Kluyveromyces lactis: one gene and its partners. The protein of the gene in region 3 interacts with the protein of the main gene of each other region in a pairwise test. Links are inferred from orthologs where the notes say so. Each region holds a gene or a part of one and is shown on either strand. Other genes may lie near its edges.

Region 1 (10,565 bases), on a different chromosome or scaffold from region 3:
GATCTGGGCAAGATATTTGAGAGTTGAAGTTTTATCTCATTACGGAGAGGAGTTTTATTGCCCAATCACTCTCATTAGGGCTCATGGTATTGCAATGATTGATGAATTCAAAATGGAAGTCCAAAACGCAGGCGAGAAACTCGAAGAAGTGGTCTCAATTGAGCAAAAACTGGCGGAGGAAAAAGAAAAGTGCATGATACCAAGTTCATTCTTAACTAATAACATGTCAATAAACTTTGACCTAGACATCAACCATCAGTGTTTAGCATCCTTAAAGCACATGAATTTTGATGAATTTTTCACTGGTTATAAGGACAATGAAAATATCACTCAAGCAAAAGATTCATCTTCATTTATCCCGATAAATACCGAAGAATCAATCTTCAAGAATATTATGAAACGGCTTTCAGGTCTTGAAACTAACGGCACTATGTCTATTCTTTATATCGAGGAACAAAGCAAATTATTATCGAAATCCTTCGATAAATTAGAAGATTCATATAGTCAACAATTTGAAGCATTGGTTAAAGCATTCAACGAAACTATGACCTCGAATCTGGAGAACCTTAATCAATTCGCTTTGCAGCTTAGAGAAAGTTCAATTAAAATTATTGAAGAACAAAGATTGGCTACGGATAAATTTATCTCAACAACGACGAATAAAGTTGAGGAACTCGAAAATGCATATCAACACCAAGCTCGAGTTATGTATTTAATCCTTTTCGGTCTAATTTCGTCGATAATATATATTTCCCTGACTAGAGAATCCTATTTTGAAGAAGAAATGGTTGATGATGGTTGGTATACCGACAACTCTTCACTTCAAAAGCTCAAAAATAATATAAAAAGATCTGTGTCAGAAACAAAAGGCCATCCGTACACGGAAGCTGCTCATTACTCACCTATATCTTCCGACTCTGAATTTGAAGATGAGGACAGCATCGTAATACCTGCCAAATAATATGTTCTGTCTGTATTGTTCTATAGCTTTTATAGCATACCTATAATTCTGGAGAGATCTTTGATTTTAGAGTCAAATTGTTCTCAAAATGTGAATGCGCAGAACAGATGAGAGCAAAGATCTTAGTCATAGACAAATTCAAGGATATCATTTGTTAAAGGAGAACTGATTTAACCGTATATATTTTACACGTTTTCTATCGACTATTCAAAATTGTAAGGTAAGATATTCTTTAAATGTTCGGAGCAAAATCTGAAGATACACACTTTCGTAGTGGTGTCGGTAATCTGAGTGCTCGGGCATCTTTAGCCCTTGGAACGTCCACTAAATCTAATTCGTTATCTATAGATGATGCATCAGAAAGACTTCTTTTCGCTGAAAATACCGAAGCAGGGGTCCAAGGAGATGTTATTTCCGTAGACGACGCTGAACGGCTTGAGCCATGTAGTTCGTTATTTTTGAGAATCTCTTCCTTTAGTTCATCAGAACTCGGAAGTAAAACACTCTGATAAATTTTTAGCGGAAGCTCATCACGAATAGGGCCTTGTTGGCACAGCTCCAAGCCCACCATTATATCAGTGACCATATTTATCTGTTCGAGTAATCTTGTTCTATCATAAATTGGATTAAGAAGCGCCTGTGTTAATTTGCATAGATGGAGATATTTATCGATGTTCTGACTTGTATAAGCGGTGATATAGTCTTGCAAACAAATCTTATCATATTTGCTCATTAATGCCGTGGGTAGATCTTTATTTGCCGTTAAGGGTTTAAAAATATCATTCAGATATAGTAAGCAGCACCTTCTTATATCAACATGTGTGTTCTCGTCCACTCTTAATAGTGGTGCACATATTATAGAAAAAGGGTCTTTCTCCTTGCAAGAGCTAACGACACTATGATGACACACGGTCAAACCCAGACTCTCACATTTCAAGTCTAGAAAGTCCAGCAACAAGGTGGATATGTGCTTTTGAAAACAATTATCTCCTAGAAGGACAGAAGCTAAAATGATACCAGAAGTAGCTTTAACTGATGATGAGAAAGCCATGTAGTGTTTGTCATAACATGATAACTCTGCAAAAAAGATTGAAACTATCTGTAACATAGAAACGTCTTCTGTAGGCCATATTATATCGGTATCCTTGAAGCACAATTGAATGGCGTCGAAAGTTGTAAAGCATGTCCGTATGTTCCAGCGTAAAGTTTCCAGGATATGAGATTCCATTTGAATGAACATGTATGAATCATAAATGTGAGAACATGCTGAAATCAGTTGGTTTAAAGTTGGCGTCCTGGATTTTTTGTCCTCAAATTTTGCCGCTATCCATAAGGAAGTGGTTGTAACAAGCTGGTAATGTTTCTGAAAGACAATTCTTTTAGAACAATATCTGTCCATAATTTGTATTGCCAAGAATAAAACGGGTTCAGATAATCTGAGAATGCCATGAAGATCAATAAGGAAGTCTAACAAGTAAGGCCTCATGTACCAGTCTAGTTCAGGTTGATTATCTATCATTTTTGGGTTAGGTAAATCGCACTCTTGGAGTTCTTGGAAATACGCTAGTAATTCCTTCTCATAGTCCTTTATTGCGGTAGCACAAGCGCTAGATTCCAATTGAGCCAGCAATGGATGTGTAGATCTTGGTCTAGGCCTTGGAGGTCCACAACGACGGATGCCTGTGTCGTTTAAATACATTTGATATCTTTCGGCCCGTGATTTCTACCAATGCACTTTTGCCGATAATTACAAGGTCAGATATTATGTTCAAAAGAGCGAATAAGATATTTCGAATATCAACGTATGCTCAAAGCCAAAAAGAATGCTAAGTATATTAATTCAGAAAAGTCAACTAATCTCAGAATATATCAATGAATATCTTCTCTTTTTATGACTGATGCGTTTGAAATATTATTTCCTGAACGTGATGGTGTTTGACCAGCTTAGAGTTTTCCTTCAAATTGGTATGAATAATGTATAACAATATATGGAAGCAGTACCTGCTCCTTGATTTGGGAACCCTGTAAAAGTAAGAGCAGCGGTTCTCTTGAGTTTAGCTCAATTTTGAAGTGAGTTGCTCGTGAAAGACCTGCGACAACTCTATTACTTTTTTCTTTCACTTTTAAACCTCGAAGAACCCGGTCTGAAGATATGGAGAAAAGCCCGTGCAAGAAAATGTTATGTCGAAATATCGAGCGTAAAACGATAATAGGGTGGCTAGTGAACAAAGGCGGAAAAGAGAACAGTGAGAGTAATTTTGGTCCAGAAATTTAAAACAAAATATACTGCTGTGCGCTAAAAGCTATGCACACCTAAAGCCACTTCCCGCACCCCAATTTAATAGTCAATTGCAGGGTGTTTGCTTTGATTTCAGTTTGAGTTTCGGTGTAAACTCTTGTAGATATCTATTTGAATAAGATGCTTGATCAAGATAATGAAATATTAGTGTAGAAGGTTATATTAAATATTCAGGATGAAATAAAAAGAGCCCTTATTGTCGGGTATTATCAATTTAATTATTAACCTTAGTAGAAAACAAGGAGAACAACTGTTAACTTTACTGCTGGTTGTTTGGCCGATAAAAAACGACACCACATCTAGCACTAATGGTGTGTCTTGGAAATATATGGTAGTGATCACTATTACTAGGTCCGGGTAGCTGTGTTGTTTTAAGCTAGACAATAACTAACTACCTGTGATTGTCCCGTTCAAGTGTAGGTCGCCTCTCCCTTCAGGAAAACCCCACAATCACATTATCAAAAAAACTTCAATGTTGCTAAGCATCTGATCCTATTGTCCCCTCGTAGTCGAGCGGAAAACTTCGGTTATGAATGGAATGTGTTCCACACACTTCGATCCTGTTTATCCATAGATGCTTTCACACCTTCTATGATAAAGCTCAATCGATGCTGTGGTTGACTTGTAGGAAACCCGTTGTCAATCGATACCGCAAACTTTAAAAATTTTTCAGTTTACCATATTTGGTAATACATAGTAATGTTTTACCACACATAGTATAACCATATCGCAGTCATCATAGTGGTCTGAAGGAACAAAGCAAACACCAATCACACAATTCTTCCTCAGATAGCATTATAATCCTGAAATTTTCCTTGTAACAAAACCATCTAGCATTGGTCCTGTTTTGAACGTTCCATTTTTTTTCTTTCTTCACATTCTTAATCGACTGTTCTTTGTCATACTCTTGTCTACTTGCTGCCGTAAATCATTTTAAATAACTTGTGCGCAGTGCAACATAAATCTTACGTTTATCAAAGGCAGCAAAGGCATGGCATAGGTTCTATTCTACTTCCGTAGTTAATAATTGAGAGCATATTTCAAATATATTTTTTGCCTCAGAAATTGGAACAATGTATCTCCCCGCAATGATCCTATACCACGACACAAGATCACATACCCGGTATGTATAATCCCCCAGCACTCAGTAGACATATTCACCTCCCTCATTCATGTTCTCTACATTTGAAAGTTAAAACCTCAAAATCAAATTTCAGATCGATGAGTTAAAAAAATGGAAAAACCACAGATTAATGCTTATTGATCTTCATTGACAAATGAGACATCGCAAACCGGACCAACCATCTTTAACACACTATTGCAGTGTTTTTGTCTTTTTTGAGGAATTTCAAAAGCTTTTCCACTTATGTCTGCTCTTCATTAACGGAGAATGTCGTCACATAAGCCGAGTGCAATCAGAACCCTTATTTTTTGCTTTTTGTACGCTTTATTTACGACCGTTCCTAATACGGTCATGAAGATCGAAAAAAAAATATGCAAGATTATTTCTAGATTGACACAAAGGAGAACAAAGTAGCCATAGGAGCAGGTATAATACAATTTGATCAAATATTTTAATATATGGCTTGTGTTTGGTATCAATCTACTTGAAATTATATGGTGACTGCTACTATTCCTTTAGTTTGGTATGAAAGCTCAGCTTGAAAGCAAGAACAGTGAGTTACTTTCCCGCATGATATTTGGACTTTCGTCTCTGTTTCGTCGTTGGGAGAACAGTAATCTAACTAAAATGTTACGGAACTAATATTTAAAATTGAAACTTATCAATTGCTGATAGTGAGGCAATAAAACAGTGCTTGTACCGTGTATTGATAGGGGGGGCGAAGAATTACAATTTTCAAAATCACGTGATCTGGTTTTGTCTTACTTTTCATAGGAATCAATTCCAATCGAATGAGATTTTGATCATAAAACAGCTTTCAACAGTTTTACGCGTTTGAACAAAAGGATGAATATTCGAAGGGCTACCTTAATCAAGAGGGCAAATTCTTTCCAATTTGACCAATTTGACAACGAACATAACTAGTATTAGTTGAGAAAACTATTAGAAAACTTCTTTGGGTTCGTAGCTTTGACAGAAGGTAACTATGTCAGAACCCGATGACGTTGATACTGTGAAGGAGAGACTGGCAGAAGATAGGCAAAACATACATATTCAGAATGAATACCAGGATATTTCATACACAATCATTAAGGCAAGAATTGGTATGTTAGCCACGGCAATTGGAGGACCAGATCACTCTGTGGACTCCGTTAATCCACCTTATAAGGTAGGTGATGATTGCTTGGCTTGTATTAAGGATTTGATTCGTTGGTTCAAGTTAGTTGATGATAACCAGAAGAGATGGGATGTAGAAATGGCCACAGCTGAATTCAAGATCCTGCAGAATGATCTAATACCTATTCTATTGGATTGGGAGGCAAAAAATAGTGCTGCTACTAGGAAAAGTAAAAAAACAGGTGAAGATATCTCGATTTTCTTCCCGAATAAATCATATCATGATAGAATCGCTCTAGGAGCGTTGCAACTTATGGTGTTGATGACATGGCCCTTAATCATAACAGATCAGTCATCGTATAACCAAGTGAATTATTACTTTGAGCTGAAAAAGCATCAATTGCTGTATAAGCATGCAATTTTGACAACAGAAAACGGAAAGGTTCTCAAGGCAGCAATTAGATTAGCCCTGAACGTCATGAGTGTGGATGTAGATCATAGGACTGCTAGGGATGACTCTCTGATACGAATGGTTCTTAATTTTCTAAAAAATGTGGTGGCAATAGAACCAGGTGAAGTTACAATATCCAGTGTCAAAAGATTGAAGAGACCTTTGACTATGGCTGAAATGTTACCAACGAATATTACCGTTGATGATATTTCCATAAATAGTGTCATAACCGCATTTGATAAAAATAAAGTTTTTGGCTTTCTTCTAACAGTGGCTAGTTCTTTGTCAGACGCTGTTGACCCAAATTTCGTTAGTTGGCCGTTGTTAGAGGTCATGTTCTTCTTAACAAAAGATATTAACCCCATCCGATTGTTCAAAAACCAGAGAAAATCTTATAAATTGGGTACGGATCACGAGATTACAGACTCCAACATGACAACGTCAGGTAAACACCTTTCAGAATTACTTGCAAAGGAACATGAAAAGAAGCTTAATGTAATAAAGAATACTTCTTCTCGTCATTCTAGATTTGGCGGTTTATTGTCTATACAGACACCTCAAAATACGCGATTGACAATTGCTAGTAATTCTGTCAACATGCGTGATGATGCGGCATTACAAGAGTTAGACTCAAGAAAAAAATGGAATAAAACCATCACTATGAGACTCGATGTTATTGAAGGACTCAGTAGCAGCTTTTTTAGTACTGAAGGTAATTCTATTTACATGTCTTCTGACAACATTACTAGCATAAAAGAGTTTTTGGCAGATTTTGTTGATTCCAGTTTCAATTTGTTATTGCAAAATGCCACAGATAGTTTTACGAGTGAAATTCAAGATCAATTACCATTGCATAAGATTGAATACATGTTATTCATTTCGTGGTTTGTGAAATTCCAGAGATCACGGTGCATTTATGAAATTGATGCTACACCGGATTATGTCTCAGGCGCATTGTTAGATGAGTGTTACATTCTCTTTACAAAATATTTGAGAGAGAGTTATGAACAAAAGAATTGGCCAGTGGTCCATGCGGGTATGCTATTGTTCACGGAATACTTGGAGTTTTTATTATCTCTCGACCAATCATGGGAGGCAGATGTTCAAGCTGTGATAAGTAAGATTTTGAGCGAAAATATGTTGCAGCTATTGGCATCTCTCCCAAAATCTGCAACCAGTCATTCTTCACAATATGTTAAAGCTTGCATTAATTTAACACATGTGGTTTTGAAAACAATTGATAAATTTGATGAGAACAGCTCGTTGACTGTGGAGTCAAAAAGGAAGCGTAAGGTGAACCTTAATCACACAGCAATTGAAAAGTATGCAAAAGATAATGATTTAGACTATGAATCAGCCTTTGATATATTAGAAGAACAATTTAAACAAGTGACCATAAACTTTGATAAGGTTTTTCGCGGATATCTGACAGAACCAACGATATCAACTTACATCAGATATCTACAGTCTTACAAAGAACTGGAGGACAAAGACCTCATAAGGGTTCTAAAATTCTTTCAGAGAGTGTTTGTCAAAGCGAAGGAAGAATTATTTCTATTTCGAATTGACTTCATGATATTATGTCGAGAAATTCTAAGTCAACAAGGTCTGCCTACAACTTCTGAGCTAAGAACTCATTTCACAAAATTCAATGAGTACTACCTTAAGCAGCTCAAAAATAAACTGAAGAAAATGCCTTCTTTGTACATCAATATATTGTTCCCAATGCTCCATGACTCCCAAATATCATACTATATGAGACATGGAAAGATGAAGTTGACTGAAGGTACTCCTGACATAGTATTGCCCAGCACATTTATCAATATTCCAGATGAAGGCTCTCTTCCTAAAAAAGTTTTGTTAGATATGCAAGTTGGAATCTTGGTTTCTAGTCTTATCGATGATGGATATGAAGATTTGATTGAAGCTTTGTTGCTTAATTTACAGTCAAGTTTCGATGGATTGAAGGGTAAGGTAGCAGAAGGCATCAATTCACTAGAAGAGGAAAGAGTAAAAAAAGTTGCATTCAATGCTACTAATTCTGAGATAAAGAGGGCCTTATACCAACAGCCCGAATTCAGAAGGCTTTTAATCCTTGCTGGTTTTGCAATTCCGGAAGCTAATCAACCTGCTTGCTATTTCATTAATAATAAAACTCCTACTGAGGTCCAGTTGGTAATTGAAACTATACAAAAGCACAGGTCTCTTCCATTTGAATCTGAAATTGGAAAACCAGCTAGTTATTATTTATCGTCACATTATCAAGAGTATGAAGACCCTGAAGAATACGGATCAGATTTAAACAATGGAAGTTACTTCGAAGATTTAGAAATCATGGATAAGCGAACAGAGGGACGCGAGCTTTCAAAAGGAAAAGCGCAATCCAAACTTGTTCAGAGATCCAAAGGGAAAAGAAAGGCAATTGCTCATCATCCGGAAGAAAATGAATCAGATTTTGAAGCAAATGCAAGCAGCTCCACCAAGCTTCCAGTCGTTAGTAAGGAGTATATAATGGACTCTGACGATGAGGATCCCGACTTCGGCGCAATATTCTTCGAAAATGAAACATATCTGAGACAGCTCCTGGACAAACATAATGGATCGCTGACTGAAACGCAGTTCTCCCTTTTTGCTCAGTTTTGTGAAGAAAGGGTTAAAAATAATGGACAATTGAGAAATGATTACTCTGCTCTTTTTAATGAAACACCGAAATCACCAATCTTCTCCGACGTAGATGCCGAAACTATCATCATTGGAAGTGCCTCGCTTCCATCTTTGGCAAACGAGCCCATAGAGACCCAAGTTGTGAGCTCTGAAGAATACTCATCACATCCACTTGAGGAAGAAGTAACTTCGGAACAACGAAAGCGTAAAAAGCCACGCATAGAATCAGATACAGAATATTAGCTAACACAGCTGCTACATACATAGTGCTATAGATTTTACGCAAACGCTTCTAATATAGTTTGAGCGGTGCTCACGAACATGAGTATAACACCAAATACAATACAACCGCAATAAGGTAACTTTTCTTTCAAGGATTTTTTTTTTCCTGTTATAACCAAATTAGTGAGTGGAGGAAGTATATATGCCATGAGAGAAGCGCTTGTTGCTCCAATGATTTCTAGAAGTGCACCAAGATTAGAAGTTGATAAAGCGATACACATTATAATCAAAACTAAACCAGACGTTATGAGGGCATGCATTTTTGTCGTTAACTTTACTGGTTCAGGGTCGTCTTTGTTGTAATATATTATGTCCCTTATCACATCTCTCAAAACGAAGATTTCCAAAGGAAACGTAGTAAGCATGTTAAATCCCAAAAGAAGTCTGGCAAAATTAATCACATTATCATCAGAAGGGAAATTATTAAGAATATTACCCACTGTTTTGTCTTTAAAGTTAAGGAACCCAGAGTAAGCAGTTGTTAAGCAAACGATGCAAGAAAGAATTAAACTGACATGTGTCAACTGATTAAATCTTTTTAAAGAGGGATTTCTCAACGAGAAAAATATAAAACTCGTGTTGTGATGGCATACTAACGCAAATGAAATCACAGAAATGCCTTGAAATATCCTTGGTGTAATAAACAACTGATGTAAATGGAAAGTTCCTTTATATTCGCCGCTTACTAGTGGAGCTTTAACAACTATGATAATAACAATTGCAATAAGTCCTAAAAGTGCAAGCATTGATGTCTTTGAAAGCTTGGAGATATCCCTGTTAAGAGATAGCGGAAACGATATGAACAAAGTCACCAATGTGATAATGACATTCCGATGAAAAAGATCTGTATGAGAAGGGAAAAAGGCGCTCAAAACATGAGGTATTGAATCTCCAATGATAATGCAAAACCCAACGCAACCACCAAATGCAAATAGGCCGTTGGATACTAAAATCAAAAGTCCTCCCCATTGACCCATTGCTGTTTCTACAGATGCTTGATAAGTACTCTTACCGGTTAATTTCAAATTGATCACAATCAGACGAATGGTCCAATCAACCAGTATGGACATTAATATGGTCGCAAATAATCCGCCGATGATTCCGCAATTTTTCATCGCAAAAGGTTGCCCTATCACTCCTGATCCTAAAATACTATTCGCCATGTTCATGAAAGCCATGTACCTGTTAGATTTTGCCTCATTAGATAAATAGATGTCATCTGTTAATGGGTCTTCTTCATTAACATTAAAAATGTTTTGGTCAACTGCGCTGTCAGCTGTCTTCGCGGTGTCATCAAATGACGTTAACTCCAGTTCAAACGGATTTGGTTCATTCTTCGATTGTTTATCAGACAGAGCTAGTTTTGCATACTTTTTATCAGCGGCTATCTGCATCTGTATTAATTATAATTCACAAAGTAGGCCATAAGCGGTTCAACTATCGTGCGCTCCGTTTGCTACTACAACCTTCTTACAGCCATATTGTTTTATCTAAGGCAAGAAGAAATACTTGCAATATATAAATTTGGTGCTTAGTCTTTTGGGTATGATAAGGATGACGAAATTTGACAAATCACGTGCATTGAAATGAAACTCTCTACATCAGGTATTTATTGTTACAAAGTATGCAAGGTAGGAGGAAAGATTGTGCATGACACTAGTTGACGACA
Region 2 (10,337 bases), on a different chromosome or scaffold from region 3:
GTATCCGCTTATAAAACCCTAGTTTAGCTTGAAGCGTACTAAAGGCCAACAGACAATTTTGCGAACTCACAAGTATCGGAAAAAGAGGTAGATATTGATTTAGTCGTGAGTTGAAAGATGGTCTCTACTCATAATAAAGACAAGCCTTGGGATACGGACGAGGTTGACAAATGGAATATCGAGGAGTTTAAACCCGAGGACAACAAGTCTGGCCTTCCTTTTGCTGAAGAATCCAGTTTTATGACTCTATTTCCAAAGTACAGAGAAGCGTACTTGAAATCAGTTTGGAAAGACGTTACGAGGTCTCTCGATGCACATCATATTGCATGCGAATTGAATTTAGTTGAAGGTTCTATGACTGTAAAGACTACAAGAAAAACGTATGATCCAGCAGTAATCTTGAAGGCTCGTGATTTGATTAAACTTTTGGCCAGATCTGTGCCATTCCCACAAGCAGTGAAAATCCTAGAAGACGATGTTGCCTGTGATGTTATAAAGATTGGTAACTTTGTTTCTAATAAAGAAAGGTTCGTGAAAAGAAGGCAGAGACTAGTGGGTCCTAATGGTAACACTTTGAAAGCCTTGGAGCTTCTAACAAAATGTTATATTCTTGTCCAAGGTAATACTGTCTCAGTAATGGGACCATATAAAGGATTAAAGGAAGTACGCCGTGTCGTCGAAGATTGTATGAAAAACGTACATCCTATTTACCATATCAAAGAACTCATGATAAAGAGAGAACTTGCTAAGAAGCCTGAGTTAGCCGAGGAAGACTGGTCTAGATTTTTACCTATGTTCAAGAAGAGAAATGTTGCAAGAAAGAAACCAAAGAAGATCAAGGAGAAGAAAATATACACACCATTCCCACCTGCACAATTACCTAGAAAGGTTGATTTGGAGATTGAGTCCGGTGAGTATTTCTTGAGCAAGAGGGAGAAGGAAGTCAAAAAGTTACATGAGCGCAGGGAACAACAAGCCGCTAAACACGCTGAAAAGGAAAGCGAGAGAGCCAAGGATTTTATTGCACCAAAAGAAACCGACTACAAAAGCTCAATTTCAAAATCTACAAAGAGCTCTTTAGGAGACAGGAAAAGACAGCGTACCGATTAAAGCGCTAGTAAGTATTTTATTATATAATCGCGTTTCCATCCTTTTCTCATGACTCAAATTAAGAAATATAGTTTTAAGTTAAGTTTCAACCAGTTGCTTTGTTCAAAAATCGTCCCAGTAGACACTTTACGATTATATTTATGGACCACGTATACGCTTTTCACTAACTATCATTCATGCCAGCAACGTTCTTGCTTTTCCTTATGTCAAAACCTGCGGTGTGACAAAAATATAGTACGTACGATCAAGAAGGTTTTTTGAAAAGAAAAATGAGAAAACGCGTAAATATTTAAGGCTCGCAGCCCAATCTTATAAGCACGATAATGTTACCAGGTAAGGCATTATTATAACCGTTTTATTAAAGGAATTCAACACCTTGCAAACACTTCGGCACATTATCAAGTGCAGAATGGACCTACTAGATGATTTGAACGTTGGCATTCATAAAAAGAAAGGCAAAACATATTCTAAAGCGAACGATGCAGAAGATGAAGAGCTGAACGTGGGAGAGCACAAGTTTCTAGCAGAGAATCTGCTTGAAAGAGTCAAAAAGAGACTAAATGGAGATTCAGATGATAGCACTGCTTCGGCAATTGATAACAGTAAAAAAAGCACATTCTTCTACAGTGATACCGATTTGTATGAAGGTAAAGAGTTGGACGATGAGTTTGAGGCAATGCGTGAAACTGCTGCAGTACCAAAGCAGCGTGAAGTGGAAATCCAACAGAAAAAACATCCAATATCTCAGACACAATTAATTCCTACATTCTCTTCATCTTGGCTGGCAAAGACTCAAGTAAATACTCAGGCACTGGAGGGCACCAACAGAACCATTGATAGACAACAGCAAGATTTAGACACACAATTGAACAATGAGGAAATTACACAGACTACACCAGATGAACACACTCTTGATAAAGCTGCAACCGAAAGTAAATTGCTGCACAGTAAAGAAACTTCCTTTCGAAATACTTCGTTTACATTTAAGTTGACAACAAACAACAATGAAGGACTACTGGCAACTAAACCAAATGGAACTCAAATAGAGAATGAGCAAAAAGTGGTCGCTACTCAACTTGATGTTGCTGAAAAGGAGAAAGCCGTGCCTCTTATAAAAGATACTATAGAAGAACCACATTTACCTGTAGCACCATTAAAGGCTGTCCGAAAGAAATACCTCCCTGAACAGTTCATTGCAGCTTTTGATGATTCGGAGTCATCCAACGCAGAAGATCTTTCAGATGAGGAAAATGATGCTGATGAATTGAAAGATATGGCATCTACTCAAGAGTTAGTCACGAAACAGAAGAGTGTTGTTACTAATATGAATGGGATTATTGCCATTACTATGAAAAATAGTCCACAAAATGTTATTGAACTGAACTCTTCGTCCGAATCTGAAGATGACTATAAATCACAATCGTCCAAGGCAGCATTATTGCTGATTAAAGCTAAGAGATCCAGGAATAAGGCTACTAAAGCAAAGAACATGCATGTTTCTACAGTTGACTCTTTGAAGGAATTGTTTACATCTTTGAAAACAAAGAACAGAGACCAGATACTTGAATTTAGAAGAGAAATATCCGGTAAAAAAGGAATATCACTTGAAGCGATTGAAGATGAAAAGATTCAAGTTGAAAAGCTTCTAGAGCAAGAGCTTGAAAGGAATAGGAGAGTTAAACTAAGAGAAAAAAGAGAAAGAGAGAAATCAAAAGATACGAGTAAAGCTGCATCTTCTGGTAGCGCATCCGATGTCCCTGATAGCGATGTGATGGAGAGTGATTTAAGCTTATCAGATAGTGATGTCGAGCAGCATTTAGGGCTACACGGGTCCACTGGTTCAGACGAAGATAGCGCGGATACATCGGCAGCCCATAAAAACAACAATCCTATAATAGATGATGACGAGAGTTCTTCGTCAAGTGATGATAATGAAGTCACCCAGGAGCCGATTGGCATCAATTTAGGGCATTATGGCGATAATTTAACTTCCTCAAATGTAACGGAAAATGATGGTGCTGATCAAAGTGACAGAAATGTGCCTTCAAATTCAGAACTGAAGATGAACAGATCACATTCAGCGAAATTATTGGTGGGAGAGTTAAGTTCCGATTCCTCAGTAGACTCTGATTCCTCAGAGGACGAGCTCGACGAAGTAGAAAGGAATAGGCTTCAAGAAAGGGCTAAAATGCGCCGAAGAATGGAAATAGAGGCAGCAAAAAAGCGGAAGCAAGTACTTAAATCAACTGGTCTCAACAAAATATTGGAAATGGAAGCAGAAGAATCTGAGGATGAATGGCATGGTGTTGGTGGTGCTGACGGAGAGAATTCAGATGACTATGACTCAGATTTGGATACCATGATAGATGATTTTTCCAAAAGCAAGTTTGATACCGCTTCAATAAGAGAAAGGTTAGCCTTAGAGAACAAAGAAATGGACGAAAGGATGATAAATAAAATCTTACATGATATCAATACCGGAGGCTTTCGTAAACGTGGCCGAGGAGCACTAGATCTTGAGTTAAGCGATGATGAGGATGAGTTACTACGACAGTTTAGGGAAAAAAGAAGAGAAATAATGAAACAAAAGCTACTAGAAAATGTGGACGGTGTAGTCAATAACTCAAAATCAAAAGCCTTTTTCGATAGTATGGTGGAAGATATAACTAGAAAGTCAATCCCTGCTGTCACATCATTCAGCAATACTCGAGATGAGATGGGAAAGAAGAAAATTGTCATATCAGAAGAGTTTGTTCAGAGTTCATTATCGTTTTTAAGTGCAAAAGATGATGATATCAATGAATTTGAGGTCACTGAAGCAGCACATGATGCAACTGAGGATTTGGAATCTTTGAAACAGCGAAGCAATATTAAATCTCTCGATTCCCCTCAAAGGAATAGAAACTCCGCCTTCTTTGATGATGTGGATGGTACATCTCTGGACTTCAAATTGCCCAGCATCGTAAAGTCTTTTTCGTCAAACTCAGATGTTAATGACAAGTTCAAAACGGGGATCAAAACTGTTACTATATCTAAATCTTATAGAGTAGCCTCTGGTTCTCGATCTGCCATCACTTTCTTGGGTAAAAAGAGAAAATTGAAGGCACCCCAAGGCCGAAAATCCACACCGTTGGTACGCAAACCAACATCTAGCTTGTTTGACTCCAATTCCGATAGTTTCACCTGACCCATCCAACTAATATGTCAATTTCATTATAAAATCTCTTAAAATTACATTTGTATAATCATTATATCAGAAGTTAAATTCAGTGTTCAATGCCTCTTGAAGTTCATTATATGAAACAGTACAAGTTACTAATGGGTCATTTAGCCCACGGATGAACTTTGCGCCATTCGGTCCTATTACTATCGATGTAGAGTAACTGTTAGAGCTTGAATGCCGTTGTCGATTTTCCACAATGGGTCGTCCACTCGATGGAGACGAATTATCAGGATTTCCAATTTCTTTCGTTACTAGAGAGTCCGAATTAAACCACTTTTGAAAAATAGAGGATGCAAATGGGGTTGAGTTGGACGAACTGAACCATCCTCTATACTTCTTAGATGGTGGAGCTGTTACGAACTGGCTCAACATATCTTTTGATAGATGCGGTGACCCGATAGTTGGCGAAGCGGTTGAATTCGAAGTACTACAGCTTATTGTTGGTTTTGTGACGATGGCCTTTTTCTGCCAAACAGATTGGTACGTTGGTCTCATTATTAGGTTAGCTGGAGTTGAAGGTGATAGAATTTTCCTAGAAAGAATGCTTTCATGAGAATTACAGCGCCTTACCTGTTTAGATGGATATTGATCTTCATTTTGGGATAGATAATATGATATATTTGGTGGGGATACCGATATTACGGTTTCTTCATCACTAGCATCTGTATTTACATCATCAAAAACTGACAGTGATAAACGGTTTTTGTTTTTGAAGAATTCCCAGTCCGCATTCTTCTTTGCTCTACCATTCAAGCCCACATCATATGATTTCGCCATTCGAAGAGTTTTATGTTCTCGGGAGAACATCTGCGATTCCAGTAGTGTATCCGGCATTGGTGATCCAGGTAAAGAATTGGCTCTTTTTACAGAATGCAAATGGTGCAAAATATCTAAATCATCTTCTTGAAACCTCACATTTCTCTTTGCTGGTAGTGACTGATTGTGTTCTTCCTTTTTCAGCTGGGATAGGCTTTTTTTCATTGGAGAAGTGCCTATTAAAGAATCCCTGTTCCTTTCAATGATCTTCAGGGTTTTCAAAGGGATAACAGATGATTCTTTACTGGACCCTGAACGAGCTGATTTTGTAGGACTTTGATATGCCCTGGCCACTTCGTTTAAACTCATTGTTATATCTTGAAATTCGTAGATCAGTTTCTCCAAAGTCTCATATTCGATACAGACATCATTTGGATCTTTCCTTTGGTGACGTAGACTTTCTTGAACATGCTCAGCACGTAACTTCAAAGAGCTTAGTCTTGCCAGGAATGAATAGTACTCCTGTACCTGTATAAAACAGTGAGAATTGTTTGGATCAAACTCACACATCTTTCGCTGGATGGACAGCTCAAGTTGCATAACGGCTTCATTACACCGGATAACTAGCCTCTCGGCTACGTACCTCATATCTTCCATTCCTTTCGAGTAACAACACTCTTCTAACTCTTAATTCAGTTTCACCCCCCCTCTCACTAGATCTCTTACTTACAAGATGGTGTGTTGTGCTGTATCTATGCTGAACAGACAGATAAACTGTGTATGGGTATGGCTATTTAGTCAAAAGGAAAAAAAACAGTCCAAAAGAGACAAGAAAAAAATAATAAAAAATACACTTCTAATGATTATTTACTCAGAGCTGTTAAGAGAATGAGAACATGCTTATACCAGTCTGAAATTTAAATTGAAACAAAAACGGAGAGATCTTCAAGTCAGTAGAATATGTCCATTATTTCGCTCTTTGTCTTGTTACTAGTTCCTCATTTCTTCTTACCTTCTAACCATCTTGAACATCAAATCTAATCTGGCATGGTGTATTGTTTTCTGATTTCATATTTTTTTTGTCTCGAGAACAATGAGATGAGCTGCCGACAAATTTGGAAAAATGTTTCGTGGTTTGCCTATTTTGGAGGTCTGGGGTTTTGGGCTCTCAAGATCTCATTTTTTGGGGACCACAGAAGACATCTCTACCAACAGAGAAAAACTTAAATAAGATAGTCCAAATATCCGGATATATATTTCCGTAGTGGATTTGTATTTGCATTTGTCAGTTTTTTTGTACCTGTATTATAAGGAAATGACAGGCATCTCAATGCTTCGTATAGATAAGGCAACCATCTAATGCTCGGTTATCTTTCATAGCAGGGACTTATATATTTAGGGGGGTGTGCTGAGATGATCTCTGAATCCAATCTTCAGTTCGACCTCTTCATCTTGAAAGCTAAATGTATGTCCATATCTTTCCAACTTCATATAGTCAAACGAGTATTAATAGATTAATAATGAAAGCCCAATTGTTCAGCAAAACACCGTTATTGAAACATCAATTCAAAAGAAGTAAAGGCCCTCAAGTGCTTTTGAAGTATGAATTTTTACAGCCGAGTGGTAGTTTCAAAAGTAGAGGTATCGGACATTTAATCTCTACAAAGGTAGAAGAAATAAAGAAATCCTCGCCTGAAAAAATCGGTCACGTGTTTGCTAGCTCTGGCGGTAACGCTGGATTGGCGGCGGCGGTTGCGTCCCTCGAATTGAACGTTCCCTGTACAGTAGTTGTGTCGAATGCAACACGTCCAAGAATTATAGAAAAGATTCGCTCCTACGGCGCAGATGTTGTTGTTCATGGTAACCATTGGAAAGAGGCAGATTCTTTCATGAAGGAGCACCTTATGAAGAAACTTGATTCCTTTAAATACGAGCCAATTTACAGCCATCCTTTCGATAATCCGCTAATTTGGGAAGGCCATTCCTTTATGGTGGATGAAATCATGGATGTCTTGGCTAGTTCAAAAATACCTATAACCAAAATTAAAGGTATTGTTTGCAGTTTTGGAGGCGGAGGTCTATATAACGGGTTGATTTTGGGTTTGCAACGGTATAATTTAGCTGACAAAATTCCGATAGTATGTGTCGAAACGAAGGGAACAGACGTATTGAGCGCCTCTTTGCGTGTAGGAGCACCAGTGGAGTTTGAAAAAATATCCAGTTGTGCTACTTCACTAGGGACAGCAACCATATCAACAACGGCTTACCAAAATGTGAAACGTCACGGAAGCAAGTCAGCTGTCATCTCTGATACTGAAGTGATTTCAACTTGCCTTCAATTTTCTAACGATACCAACATAGTTGCGGAACCTGGGTGTGGGGCAACGTTATACTTCGGGTATAATATCGATAAACTACAAAATATTCTCGGTTCAGACATTAAAGATGATGATTATGTCATCTTGATCGGTTGTGGTGGGTCATCTACAAGCTTAGAGGATCTTAAAGAGTTATCTAGTTTTACTAATTGTGAATTTGAGCTTCCTTCTACTGGTGTGAGCCGTCTGAATTCCCATTCGTTACACACACTCCAGTAGTGCGAACTTAAACAATGTGGAAGATTTTCTTCTCAAAAGCAGGAGAAAGCCATATATAATTAATTGCAAAATTCTATCAGCTAAAGTGTCCTACTGGTATATAATGACCTTGGATCGGGAAAAGAGAAAAAAAAATACTGGCTGACTTCTGGTTAAATTTACTATAAATCCGGCACTGTGAGCTCATTGAGCTCCGCAAAGAGTACAATGAAATTCATTTTATAATTTGGACTTTAAGTAAGCATGTTTTTATAGATACCGCAAATAAAGTTGGTTTTAATGCAGTCAGCCCAAATGGAACAATTAATCATTCTTTCAAAAAGAATAGTGCTTACTGGAAATTATTAATTCTGAATTATTATAATAATTCTGAATGAAAATATGATAATAACAATCGGCCGATAACGAAGAATAAACTATTTAAATAGTATTGTTAAAATAAAATTTATAAATTGTCTTTATTAGGAATTTCAGACTATTATAATGGTGAAACATAACGGCAGTTTATAACCTTGCACAAAGTTTCATGGCTGTCAATAGAACATTTTTTCTGAAAGAATATATTCCTGCTCACCGTACTGAAATATATGCGACTCCAAATAAGTATGGTACATTTATAAAAACATGTAAGAAAGGTCTTGTAAGTTCGAACTGCTCAGAAGAAAAAATTCTCTTATGTCAATATTCTTGGGAGTCTCACTGGTATAAGTCACTCCAAAACGTATAATTAATACAGCGCTGAAATTGTGAAAAATTGTATATCATATCCGAAGAAAACCTTTGAATGTGCAAAACCGAGAAAATGCCTACATACCTTTAGAATTTTGACTCCCATTATCTTAAAATTTTAACGAGAAAGAATTATAACTAACTAAGTTAAACTATTGTAATTGTCACCTCTAACACTTCTTTGTACTATTGGACTGGATGCCATTGAGAGTCGGTAATAAGGACTTCGCTTAGATGGTTAGTAGGCTTCGGGAAAAGACCGCAGGGCTTAAAGGAATATCAATTGAATCTAGGAAGAACATAGTCATTAAGTTTACAGCTCAACTCCATTTACCAACATAAGGTATCTCTTCTTATGAAATGTATATATAATACGATTAATATTTACTGTTTATTAATAGTTTATTCTAATTAACTTAGAATTTCCCCAATCTATAAAGACATACATATTGACTATGAGTTATTATAAATTATACTTTTCATAAATTTAACTGTAAAATAAAATATACACTTGTACCTATGTAAATTGTATATTGATAATAAATACTCTATATTTTTATATTTAGGTAAATAACTGATAAATTACTACTATTTTTTGGAGTTCAAGTTAAAATATTATCTTGAATAGCTATCATTCAATCTGTAGATCTTATATGTTGAGATACCACTAAATCCCTTCTATCATTTCTATTTTTAATTTTTATTAATAGCTAAATGACTGTCAGCTTCAATAAATCTAACATATCAATACATGCCAATAAATGTCACTCTGACTTCGTGGCCAACAATGAGGTATTTTGGATGTTGGCTTTGATGATTAGTATACGAACTTTAATTTATCAAGGACATCATTTACGATGTTCTCCTTGGTTCTACTGTTTAACCTTCATATTACCATAAAGCAATAATCAGTTTTGTTGGACTGGATATTCATCATGTTTGGTAGTAGGGGCTTGGCATAGAGCGTTAGTAGTATTGATGTAACTGGATGCCATTCTGATTTGTAGTTGTTAAAGTCAAAAACATATTATTAATAAATATGTATTAGAACATATTTTAAATTTATTTATTGATAAATATAATAAATCTTGAAATAATTGGATAGTTAAATTGGTGCTCGGCATACAAACTTCGACTAATTAAGTAAATTACTTACGGTGTTCTCCTTGGTTTCTTACATCTGACATATAACTTAATGTAGAACAATAATTAGTATGTCGTCAAATCCAGAGGGGAAGATAGGATGAAGAAACCTTCTACTTATATACTTTTTAGATTGGGCTTCCAATCATCAAACGCTGTAGCCTTGATCCTAGTTCATCGAACTTCAGCCTAATATTTGGCAATAACTGTCGCCTTAGGAATATGCGTACAACACCAAACGTTGTTTATTTAACTGAATATTTTTCTCTTCATTAAGGTACTTAGTTATTTCCCCAAACATCTCGTTGTATCTACAAGAAAAGAAACAAACGAATTCAATTCGGTGTGTTTGTATATATATTAAAGCGTTTTCTTCGCCTACAGAAGAGTTCATTTTCATTTGGTTTTGTATGCGCCCAAGCAAGTTCAGTGCGGAAAACTGACAATTTTCTTAAAGTAAAAAGTCAGTTTCGAAAATAAAGTTAATCCAAAAAAAGAAAAGACATTTTTGGTTGATGACAACAAGAAGTAAAACATAGTATATTAAAAGGATGGGGAATACTTGAGTGTAAATCATATCAAAATAAAAATGAAGAACTAGAGAAATTTGTAAAAGAGTACCTCAATGTGCTAGTACCATTGTGGATCATAACAATCCGTGAACTTCACTCTCCAGTGTGGTTAAAGATAGTCGATTCCCTCTGTGCAGTCCAATCTCAAGATCCATCAATCATCAATAACTTTGACCTAGAAGGGTTTGTGTTTGTGATGTTCGGAGA
Region 3 (10,202 bases):
CAGGAATAACCTTATCATATGCCTGTAGAAGTACTAATCCATCCTTTAAGTCTTCGAATAGTGACACAACTGGAGGATCTACTTCCAAAGAATTTAACCACAAAGTGAAAACTCTGGCTTCTCTCTCACCTTCTGCATCGAAATCCTCAATTTCGATAGGTTCGTTTTCATCCAATGGATCCAAACCAGGATGAGTGTTGAATAGATGAGCAACGAAGGCTAAGTTTAATTTAGGATTACCAGCCACTAATGCCGTTGGAGTCAAATACTTTCTGCATTCCAATTTTTCAGCGTTTTGTAAAACTTCTTCTGCTCTTTCTAGCAAATCGGTGGTTTGTAGTGGTCCCAATGAGCATAGATTTGAATCCAATTGATTTAATAATACAGTATAATTTTCACCATCCTTGATATCAGAAGAGAAATTGGAGACCCTTCTGTGCCACCCAGCTTGTTTCAAATGGTAGTTGAACCAACGCAACAAGATTTGTTCTGGGGGTAGTCTTAGGAATTGCTCCAAAGTTTCATCTTCTTCTAATAAACGGTACAATTCCGGGTGTAATTTGATATCAATCTTGGATAGCAAACCTCTCCTAATAATTTGCCAAATTAAACCTAAGATCAAATGTTCTTTACCTTCAATAATATCTTCAGAGTGAACATTAACCACAACACAGCCGATAGCTTTAGCGGAATTGATCACAATGTTGGCGTTTTCGGAAGCCGTGAAAGTGTTCAAAGCCTTGTTATTCTTAGGCCAGTTTAACACTCTGGTATCGATGGTGTCCGGGACAGAATCGTTAATCAACTTGGACAACACCAACCCATCTCTACATTCGTCGAATAATTGGAAAGTATCGGTAGGGAAAGGAAGCCTATGACCAATGTCTGCGTCCCCAGCTAGCACGGAATTGATATGTGTAGTGAAAGCCCTTCTTTCTTCTTCATTAATCGTGTGGGTGGTACCAGAAGTGGAACCACCGACAATAATCTGAGCTTTCTCACCAGTACCTTTGTGTTGCAAACCAATCGATTTAGGTTTAGTTGGAACCGGTGGTGCACGGTTGCTCTGACCGGAAATGTTAGGAAAGCTCGTTTGTGGGAACCCCTTTGAATTGTCTTCGTCCTGTTGCGTACCTTGAGATGAACCGTTTGCTCTTAATTTTGCCATCAATTCCACGTAATCCTCCAATTCAACATGACCCGAAGCATCTACATCAACGGTCTTCAAAGTCTCCCTAGCTTCATCATAAGATGCAACACCAGACTTGGAAATGGATTCCAAAATTTGAGGTTTTTCAACCCAGCCCTTATCCTCTAGATCGATGTTTCGAAAATGCTCTATCGTTTCGAAGAGATCTTCCTGAGAAAACTCAGGGAACTTTCTTTGTAATCTAATAATATTCATTATTGATCAGTTTATATTGCTGTGATTCCAATCAATTGCACTAATACTGCAAGTTGTAAACCGTATAGGCAGAAGGAAAGACGAGGGCTTCCTTTCTTGTTTCGGGCGTGGAATACGGCTTTCAAGGTTTATGTTTTATATTCCACCATGTTAAACTTTATTCTTTAAAGGGCTTTTCGATTGGAAATGGAAAAGGAGAGAGTATGTGATGTTCGTATGTTATGATAATTGAAGGGAATTAAAGCCAGTACAAGCCTCCTGGTTCAGCAGTCTGATCATACGGTGCTTTACACGGGTTTCATCGTCCGTCTATCCATTTGCGTATGCTATTTATGCTTGTCGCAGTCTATTTGCATTAGATATATTGGGATATTCCGCACTGTGGAATAATCTTGTGAGCTGTGAGGGATGAAATAGTCACAGGAGTTAATACTACTAGCCAGCTATTCAGTGTTTTCCTCGTACTTCCACGCCTCATTTTGGACAAATGCTGTTTGGAACTGCCGGAGCTGTTTGTATAGATCTTGAGATGAGTTCGAGTAATCGAATTTCGGACTTGTTTCTGGCATGTCATCATCCATTAAATCTAGCTGTTCTCTCCATAGCGTTTGGTAATACGGTACATTGAGCCTGGATTCAGGTATTGCTCTATCTTTATCAAAAAGTCTTCTCATGGCAACCTCTTGTTGTTGCAATTGATCCACTTTTGTCTTGTTTAGTATATTATCATGGAGTATGAAAGGTGACGGATCGTATTTGAAACTGAGAGTGTTTTCAGATATCCCTGGTGCCCTTTGTTTCCCATTCATATCCCTGTTTCTATTGCGTTCATTCTTGTAATTCAACGGAGTGTAGAGCGAAGAGTCGCTGAATACATTTGCCGATGTGCCCATCCCAACGTTGAAATCCTCATCTGTTGAGTGTTTGACATGTTTGATCCTGCGGAACTGCGGGCTTTTCCAGGGTGGCAGACGCGGAAGATCTATGTTGTGCTCCATGTATTAACTTAAGAGCCTGAACAGCTACAGTTGAGGGGTTGAAGGCTGGTTCTTGGCAACATTTTGCCTATAATTATGACAAATTATTGTGGGTATTTTAGAATGCTTACCTTTGACTGACATTTGTGGCATTGGTTTAATGATCACGTGATATCAATGGTAAACCTAACAGATTTCAAACAGCTTGGACATCCCATAGTAGTGTCAATTTCGAGGTATCTGATTAGATTGTTACATAATATATATATATATATTAGATTTAAAGCCGAAAGCTCACCTCATGATATGCCTAAATTAATATGTTTGTGTCTTCGTGCTAAATCAATCCGCTTAATGTCAAACGTTCAAGGAATGGTTGTAGATCGTCTTTCCTGATTTCAATAATTGATGTCTCGAAATTGTCAATCCTTACTTTGGCACCTGTCTCAGCTGCTATTTGTTGAAATGCCACTGTGAAATTATTTAAAGTTTTCTGCTGTTGTTGTTGTAAAATGTCCAACCCTCTTGGGTACCTTGGCGCAATCCCTGCACAAAGATATGTGTCAGAAGTCTCATCTAAAGTTGCCAATACCAGTGGAAGTAACTGTTTTTCGTCATTTTCTGCATAGTATTCAATGAGCCATGATCCCAGCCTCAATAACGTTAATGGATTTCTATATAAATGCAAATCTGGTCCATCTTGTAAAACACATAGCCTGTAAATCCTTAAATGTTTCACTAATCTTTTCTCCAGAATAGCGACTCCAGTTTCAAATACACTTCTTTGTAAAAATGTTGCATGCTTAATCCCCTGAGATAAAATATCCATATTATTGTCCAATACATCCCAACTTGACCAAAAATTTGCAATCCATTTTTTTTGCCTTGTCTTCAGTATTCTGTTAATTTTTTGCTCTTCAGCTTCTTCGTACTCCCTATTCTCTTCATCACCTTGGTTCGTATCATCTTTTTGAGATACATTAGCTGTTGTCAAATTTTCTAGTGCGTTTGAAGCATTGCCAACTTCAAGTAAAGCGGTTATCGATTCGACAAATTCACTGGCACTTATTGATCCTCGGTAACCGAAAGTTCTCAAGAACCCATCTCGTACAATATCTTGTAACCCGTATCTATCGAGATTTTTATCGAAAAGTACGCCCAGATCTCTCTTGAAATTATTGTCCATATATATCCAGTTTTCCTGTGTAACACTCAGCGGAATACCCATGCGTGCAAACATTTTATGCAGTCTTTTCTTGCCATTTTCATTCCACAGTGACAGTTTGGCGTTGACGTAGTTAGAATAATAAAAACTATCATATAAGGATGTATGCCTCAGAAGGAATAAACTGTAATCGGGACGAATCTCAAGATTCAAAGAATCTGGCGTTTTAGTTTTTTCACTAGGTGTCAATCTTTTTACTTCATCTTTCAGAAGTGGTAATAGTCGATTGTATACCAACGGGAAGGAATTATCCAAAGAGGACACTCCTAGAATGCATAACCATAAATAATCTAGATTTGTCTCACCAATACCAGACAAAAGAGAATATATCTGAACTGAAAGGGAGTTCAGCACCGTTGATCCCTGTGAATAGTACTCCTGTAACACTTTTTCTAAGTTGTGAAACTCTCGCTTTCGTTGTTTATGTGATTTTTTTGGATTCAATTCATCGCTGGACCTTTTACCCAATACTACGTCATCGTCATCGTCATCGTCATCGTCATCGTCGTCTTTATCCTCATTTTGCGTTTCCCTGTCATCTTCCTCTTCCTCGCTATCACTGTCATCGTCCAATTCATCGCCAAGTTCGTTCTCTATCTCTATAAGTTTGTAGTATGCTTTCTTTTGCTCTGTCAAAGACTCTTCGACTGTTCCATCATCGAAACAGGTTATGCACTGTGAACCAAATAAATTATCCAAATTCCACGGTCTATGACAATCAAGCACAAATATCTCCTTCTTAAATTTCTGAACAACGTCAGTCTTATCTAATTGAATCTCATCTAATGGACCCTGCGTGTTTTCTTGTGGATCAATCTCTAAAAAAGATTCAAGATCTACCATCCCTCCACAACCTACAAATATAACGCTATTGATATTTTCGTCCAGTCTCTGATAGTGATCCTTCAATTCCGAATAACCAAACACGGGAACTAACTGTGATTGTACCAATTGCTTCTTGAATAGACTGGATAGCATCTTCGATGCACATAACGCGTCAATGTTTAAACACGAAACAAAAATCACCAACTGACATGAAGAATGAGAACTGCATCGGTGAAGAATTTTATCATAAGCACCCACAAATTCAGCAATGCCAATATACATCCTCTACCTGGCACTTTGATGGCCTGCAGTGGTTTTGTTTGCAGTCTCTTTTCCCTCGTGAGCTAGTCATCTCATGTATTTACATAAATTTCTTTAAAATATTGGTTTGGAATACTTACACGTTTAAAGATTTTTGGAAAATCGATTACTTGTCATAAATGGCATACATGCGAAATATTCGAAATATTCGAAGAGATGCCAAGATTTACAAGACTATAGGTACTAAACACTGCTATCTGATATTTCATATTGCAGTATTACGAAATACGAAGATCTTAACTTACTATGAAACTACTGGGAACAATAATTGGTTCAGCATTCTTTTTACAAGCTGTGTCTGGATTCTTTTTCGATTCAGGTCACCAGAATAGACAGCAACAGCAGCAACAGCAGCAACAGCGGGATGTTGGCTCTTACCAGCAAATGTTCCTAGATAATGACTGTCCGCATTATTTATGTCCACAGACATTGGATTGTGTGAGACAGAAGTCGGATTGTGCGTGTCCGTTCCCTAATTCACAATTGAAATGCAATCTACCCAACGGTCAGGTAATTTGCATCTCAAAGCCAGCAACACATGATCCAACACTGGTAGAGATTTATGATGATCCAGTAATGGGACCAGCTCAACGTACTGAGGGATTCAGAGATTGTGGATGGATCTTGGATGTATATGACGGCAAGATTTAGAATGAGAGATCTTTCTTTCTGTATCGGCCATAATACTATTACAAACATAAACTGATAATATATATAGAGACATATAATACAGACCATTACTGTATTTAATGCAATTAACTAGCATGGGTTTATTTTTACTCGTTTGAGTTCTTCGCGGAAAAGATCGTTACCGGTTCGGAACAGTTAATCTCTGTTCTTACCTGCAACCCATCTTTTGTATAACAATTCATGGATTTTAAAGTTTCTGAAAAGCTCATCGTACTTTGATTGCTTCCAAAGTTCCATTAAGTCATCTTCAGGTATGAGTTGTTCAACGTAGCATAATACAAACTGTTTCTTGGCTCCGCCCACGACTCTGGCAGCGCTTGAATACCAAGTGTAATCATTTGACTGGTTTGCATCCAAAACCATGATTCCATACTCCGCATGTTGGAAAGGGGGTCCTCTTCTGTATAATAAGTATTCGCAACCAAATTTTATCCCCGATCGTACACACCACCCTTTGGACCTGTAATGATGGTACGCGACATATTGATGAATTAATTTCTTGATGTCTTGGAAACTTTTCGGTTCCAGTACCAACGAAACCATTAATTGTTGCAATGTGATCTTCAATACCGGCACTGCATAAGAGAGGAAAATAGCCTCGACGGGCATCAATTGCAAGCTTTCTAGTTGAATCACTGATTTGCCTTCTATTAATCTTAAATCTTCGTCACGTATTTGCATCGAGTCCTTTTCAAAAGCTAATTCTTTATCTCTTTGATTCTTTAAGAATAACCTTTCTTGTTCAATGAATTGTTCGTCTACAATCCCCTTTTGTCTCATTTCTAACTTCTTGGCTTCAAATTCAGCTCTCAGTTTCTTGAATTCGAGCCGCTGCCTTCTTCTAACGTCTGTAACATGCTCTAAGTTGATTCGATCAGCATCATTTAGTTGCAATCGAGACATTGTTCTTGCCTGCCAGTTGGGTTCACTCCGAGATAGTTGACCAGTACCAAAGAATCCGTGTTCCCATAAATACTTCATCTGCCATTGATCACATACCAAAATTTGACCTAATTGGTTGATCTTGACGTCAATAATTCTGGTTTCACTCCATCTCATCGCCCAATCTAATATCCAGGAAAATGCCTGAAAGGGATGTTTCCATACAGACGGTACAGGCTGCGCCTCTATAGGCAACGCATGTTTGTATTGCAGCTGATTTCTATGAGATCGCTTCGACATTGTAAGTACTTGCCTCCCGCGGTCTTCATATATAGTTACTAAACATGCAAGAGAGATTAGCATTGGACAAAATATGGTTTTATAACTGATCTCTAATTCAAAAGAATTAAGTTTCAATAACTAAAAACTCGAATAAGCAGTACAGAGTTAAGGAGTGATATTAGGTTTACATATTTTACTAAGAGGGGTACGAATTAGAGTAGAGAAAGGACAAATCAGATACCGTTGTAGTCTATTGAGAAATCGTGTGCTCACATTGAAATAAATTCTTCGAGACATCTAAAATGGTTTATCATCATATATAAAGAAAAAGCCCTTCAAAAAAGAAAAATATCCACAGAGGTAACATATCTTACCGCTCACTCCATCTGGAATCTATGAACAGTAAGTATGCTGGCTGTATGAATCAACTACAGTTGGTTTATTTTTTGGTTGATCAGAATACTTATATATGTGGCATCAAACATATCTTTTCTCTTCCAAGCTCATCGCTTTTGGCCTTTTATACTGAAAAATGAAAATTTTCACGTTTGTGAAATGTCAGTATCACATACAACGGACAATTTCTATACATTTCGGGCTCTAAGGAGGCAGAGATTCTATGTGTTGAGCCGGGTCTGGGTTAGGGCTTTAAATAGTTTAGTACCATGAAATATTGGTATATTTTTATTTATTGTTGATATTGTTATTACGGTATCTAGTTAAAGATCTATTGTACAGTTTTATACTTTTTTTTAGGTTTTTGACGTGATGTTGTCCATCTACATGGATGCCATCTCTGAGAAATACTGTCTTAAGATAATGGATAACATTTCTGGGAGTTCGGTAATGTCATGAACGACAACGTAGAATTCGAATGGGAATGTGTCTAGGTATTTCTGGACTGATAGTTTCATGTTGCCGAATTGATCTGGAATATAGTTCACTTGAGACATATCCATGATTGATTCGTTAGAGTTAATACCATCGATGACAACGAAAACGAGCATGATTTTATTTTCCCTTGCTCTGCGAACCAATCTTACTAATGTTTCGTGGTCTTCACAAACACCATCGGAGATGATAATTTCCAATTGCCATAGGTCGTTACTCTCCATAGCTCTTGCTCTTTCAAAGATCTTGATACTTTCAGCTACCAATTTCTTGACATCGGTTCTTGTTTCTTGGAAATCAAACCATTGGAAAGTCTGAGCACCAGTTTGGGTATTGAAAGGTTGGTTGAATGGGTGAACTTCTCTTACAGTTTCACCGAATTTCACGATAGATAAACCACCGGATTCAAGTTGAGTTAAAGCCTTAGAGACTAAACAGATACTTTGGAAAGCCAAATTGACAGATTTTGATTCGCTCATAGATTTGGAATCGTCTACTGCAATCATGATTTGATATTGACGCTTACTTGGTTTTGTTCTTCTTAACCAAATCTTGTCCTTACGGTACTGTGAAGCAATATATGGAATAATTCTCTTCATATTCAACCTTTTACCAGTTTTGTAATCACCCTTCAACTTTGTGGCAAGAGTAGGCTCAAGAATCAAACGTAGCTGTTCACTTAAACCGGCTGCCAACTCGTTCGTTTCTTGTTCACTTCTCTTCCATAGTTCACGGGCTTCGTCGAATGGTCTTGGGGCCACAGCAACAGAATTTTCTTCTGATACTTCGTTGTCTACTTCATTTAAGATTTGGTCGATATCGTTTTCGTCAGAAACAATGTCGTTTTGATCCCATAAAGCGCCAGAGTTCTCAAGAGCATTTCTTTCACCAATGAAAGCTCCCTTGCTTTTCCCGTTATTCTCTTCATTATCAATATCACCGTTTTGTACTTCCGGTTCATCGATGTCCATCACATCAGTTGGGTGTTTCTGATCTTCATCATTCTCATTTTCAGGTTCAGCTTTTTCTTCGTTTGAATCTTCATCAATGGCTAGGTCCTCATCGAACCCAGTTAATTGATCTTTATCAGCAGATCCCAACGCTTGCGTATCAGTCTCGGTATTGGCACCGTCGACATGTTCAAATTCGTCAGGTTTCTGGTTGGAGCCTTCAGGCTGTTGCTCTTCAGAATTGGTGGAAGCCTCTTTGATTTCTTGATGGCGTCTGTGGAATTCTTTCAATGAATCACCTAATTGCTTTAAGCTTTCTTGCGCGTCTTTACGAGATGTATCTGTGATTTCTTCCTGATTGTTTTCCTGGCTTTGCGATTGCGCGTTACCAGAACTACCAATATCTTGTTGTTCTTCAGAATCAGCTGCATTAGAGCCTTCACCCTTTGCACCCGAATCTTGTTCGACAGCAGCATCTGTATTTATTTGATCTTTGTCATCTTCTACACCCTCTAATCCGTCGAGGCCCTCTACATCTTCACCCTTTTCATCTTCACCTCCTTCTTGTTTTGGTTCATCTTGCGGGTTTTCAAGTTCACTGTCTGAATCTGCTATTGCTTCTTCTTTGATATCTGGTTTCTCTGTATCATCCTCTTTATCAAGAGCCTCTTCGGTTTCACTATTATCATCTCCATCCATATCAACGTCTTCATCTGATTCGCGGTTTTCATCAGCGTCAGATTCTTCATCAATGTTCGTTTGTTCATTTTCTGTATTTTCTGGCTGCTTACCTTCTTCTTCCTCCTCATCTACCTCCATTTTATCCTCGAAATCTTCTTCTTCTTCTTCAGAGCCATCTTCTTCATTATCTTTGTCAGAATCCAAATTCATGTCCTCTGGTAGGTCCATTGTTTCTACTTCCGGGACGTTATTTTCGAGATTCTCGTTTTCATCATTTCTAACTTCATCTTCTTGTTCTCCAACATCTTCTTCCTCTTCTTCTTGCTCTTCACCGTCATCATCGTTATCTTTTTCTTCAGTTTCCATTTCATCAGTTTCTTGGTTTTGTTGGTGGTCTTCCGGCTTGACATCATCTTCTGCTTGTTCCTCTGATGCTTGTACATCATCGGCATTAGATTTTTCAGGCATGTTCTCGGAATCCTTCTCTTTAGAATCATCTTCAGCTTCCTCTTCCCACATCTTTTCATCCAATGCATTAGGATCATCCTCGTCAAGATTATCAATCTCTTCATCTAGCTCGTCTTCATCGTCCTCGTTGTTATCATCTTCTTCTTCGTTTTCTTGATCAGATGCATTTTCAAGGTCTCCGGCAATATCGCCTTCCATTTCAACAGCATCATCTTCTTTTTCTTCGTCGTCTTCGTCGCTGTCATTTCGTTGATCCTTGTTCGGTTGTTGAGCATCTTCTAACAAATCCTCATCTTCTTCAACATCTTTGCTATTATTTTGAGCTCCATCTCCATCTCCAAGACCTGTACCCTCCTGCAAATTGTTATCTTCGGTCTCTTCTGAAGGAGGCTCTGGAGAACAGAATCCATCTTTAGCGAGATTGTATAGCATATTCGAGAAGATATAAGTCGATTTGCTAAATTTGAAATAATTCTCTGAAGTTGTATTCAAAATGTCATTCAACATGCTGAAATAGTGATTGATAAATGGCATGGTAAATGAAACAGCTGCAGCAACCATTGGAGATGATTCTGCCGTAAATGACGTTGACTTAATTGTAGTGA

What was found.
Region 1: the proteins of CDC45 (region 3) and TOF1 interact in binary tests that used the Saccharomyces cerevisiae proteins (3 or more experiments, as listed by UniProt). The link is inferred for Kluyveromyces lactis from reciprocal best matches to the Saccharomyces cerevisiae genes CDC45 and TOF1.
Region 2: the proteins of CDC45 (region 3) and MRC1 interact in binary tests that used the Saccharomyces cerevisiae proteins (3 or more experiments, as listed by UniProt). The link is inferred for Kluyveromyces lactis from reciprocal best matches to the Saccharomyces cerevisiae genes CDC45 and MRC1.

The regions. Positions count from the first base shown.
Region 1 is NC_006039.1:183,715-194,279, forward strand, and holds TOF1 (Tof1p), read left to right. Parts: upstream 1-5,368; coding exon 5,369-8,857; downstream 8,858-10,565. Other genes in the region: SLP1 (Slp1p), read left to right, coding at 1-961; KLLA0_C02233g (uncharacterized protein), read right to left, coding at 1,194-2,660; AVT2 (Avt2p), read right to left, coding at 8,893-10,290; guanine nucleotide exchange factor SEC2, read right to left, coding at 10,553-10,565. UniProt on the Saccharomyces cerevisiae protein: Forms a fork protection complex (FPC) with CSM3 and which is required for chromosome segregation during meiosis and DNA damage repair. FPC coordinates leading and lagging strand synthesis and moves with the replication fork.
Region 2 is NC_006039.1:29,357-39,693, reverse strand, and holds MRC1 (chromatin-modulating protein MRC1), read left to right. Parts: upstream 1-1,519; coding exon 1,520-4,297; downstream 4,298-10,337. Other genes in the region: ribosome biosynthesis protein KRR1, read left to right, coding at 118-1,110; VAC17 (Vac17p), read right to left, coding at 4,364-5,746; L-serine/L-threonine ammonia-lyase CHA1, read left to right, coding at 6,553-7,686. UniProt on the Saccharomyces cerevisiae protein: Required for normal DNA replication. Phosphorylated in response to DNA replication stress. Phosphorylation allows it to mediate the activation of RAD53.
Region 3 is NC_006042.1:1,832,296-1,842,497, forward strand, and holds CDC45 (DNA replication initiation factor CDC45), read right to left. Parts: upstream 4,715-10,202; coding exon 2,720-4,714; downstream 1-2,719. Other genes in the region: SAC6 (fimbrin), read right to left, coding at 1-1,405; KLLA0_F19800g (uncharacterized protein), read right to left, coding at 1,849-2,403; LCL2 (Lcl2p), read left to right, coding at 5,000-5,404; tRNA splicing endonuclease subunit SEN2, read right to left, coding at 5,579-6,688; REA1 (AAA family ATPase midasin), read right to left, coding at 7,387-10,202. UniProt on the Saccharomyces cerevisiae protein: Required for initiation of chromosomal DNA replication. Acts at the origin of replication. Also has a role in minichromosome maintenance.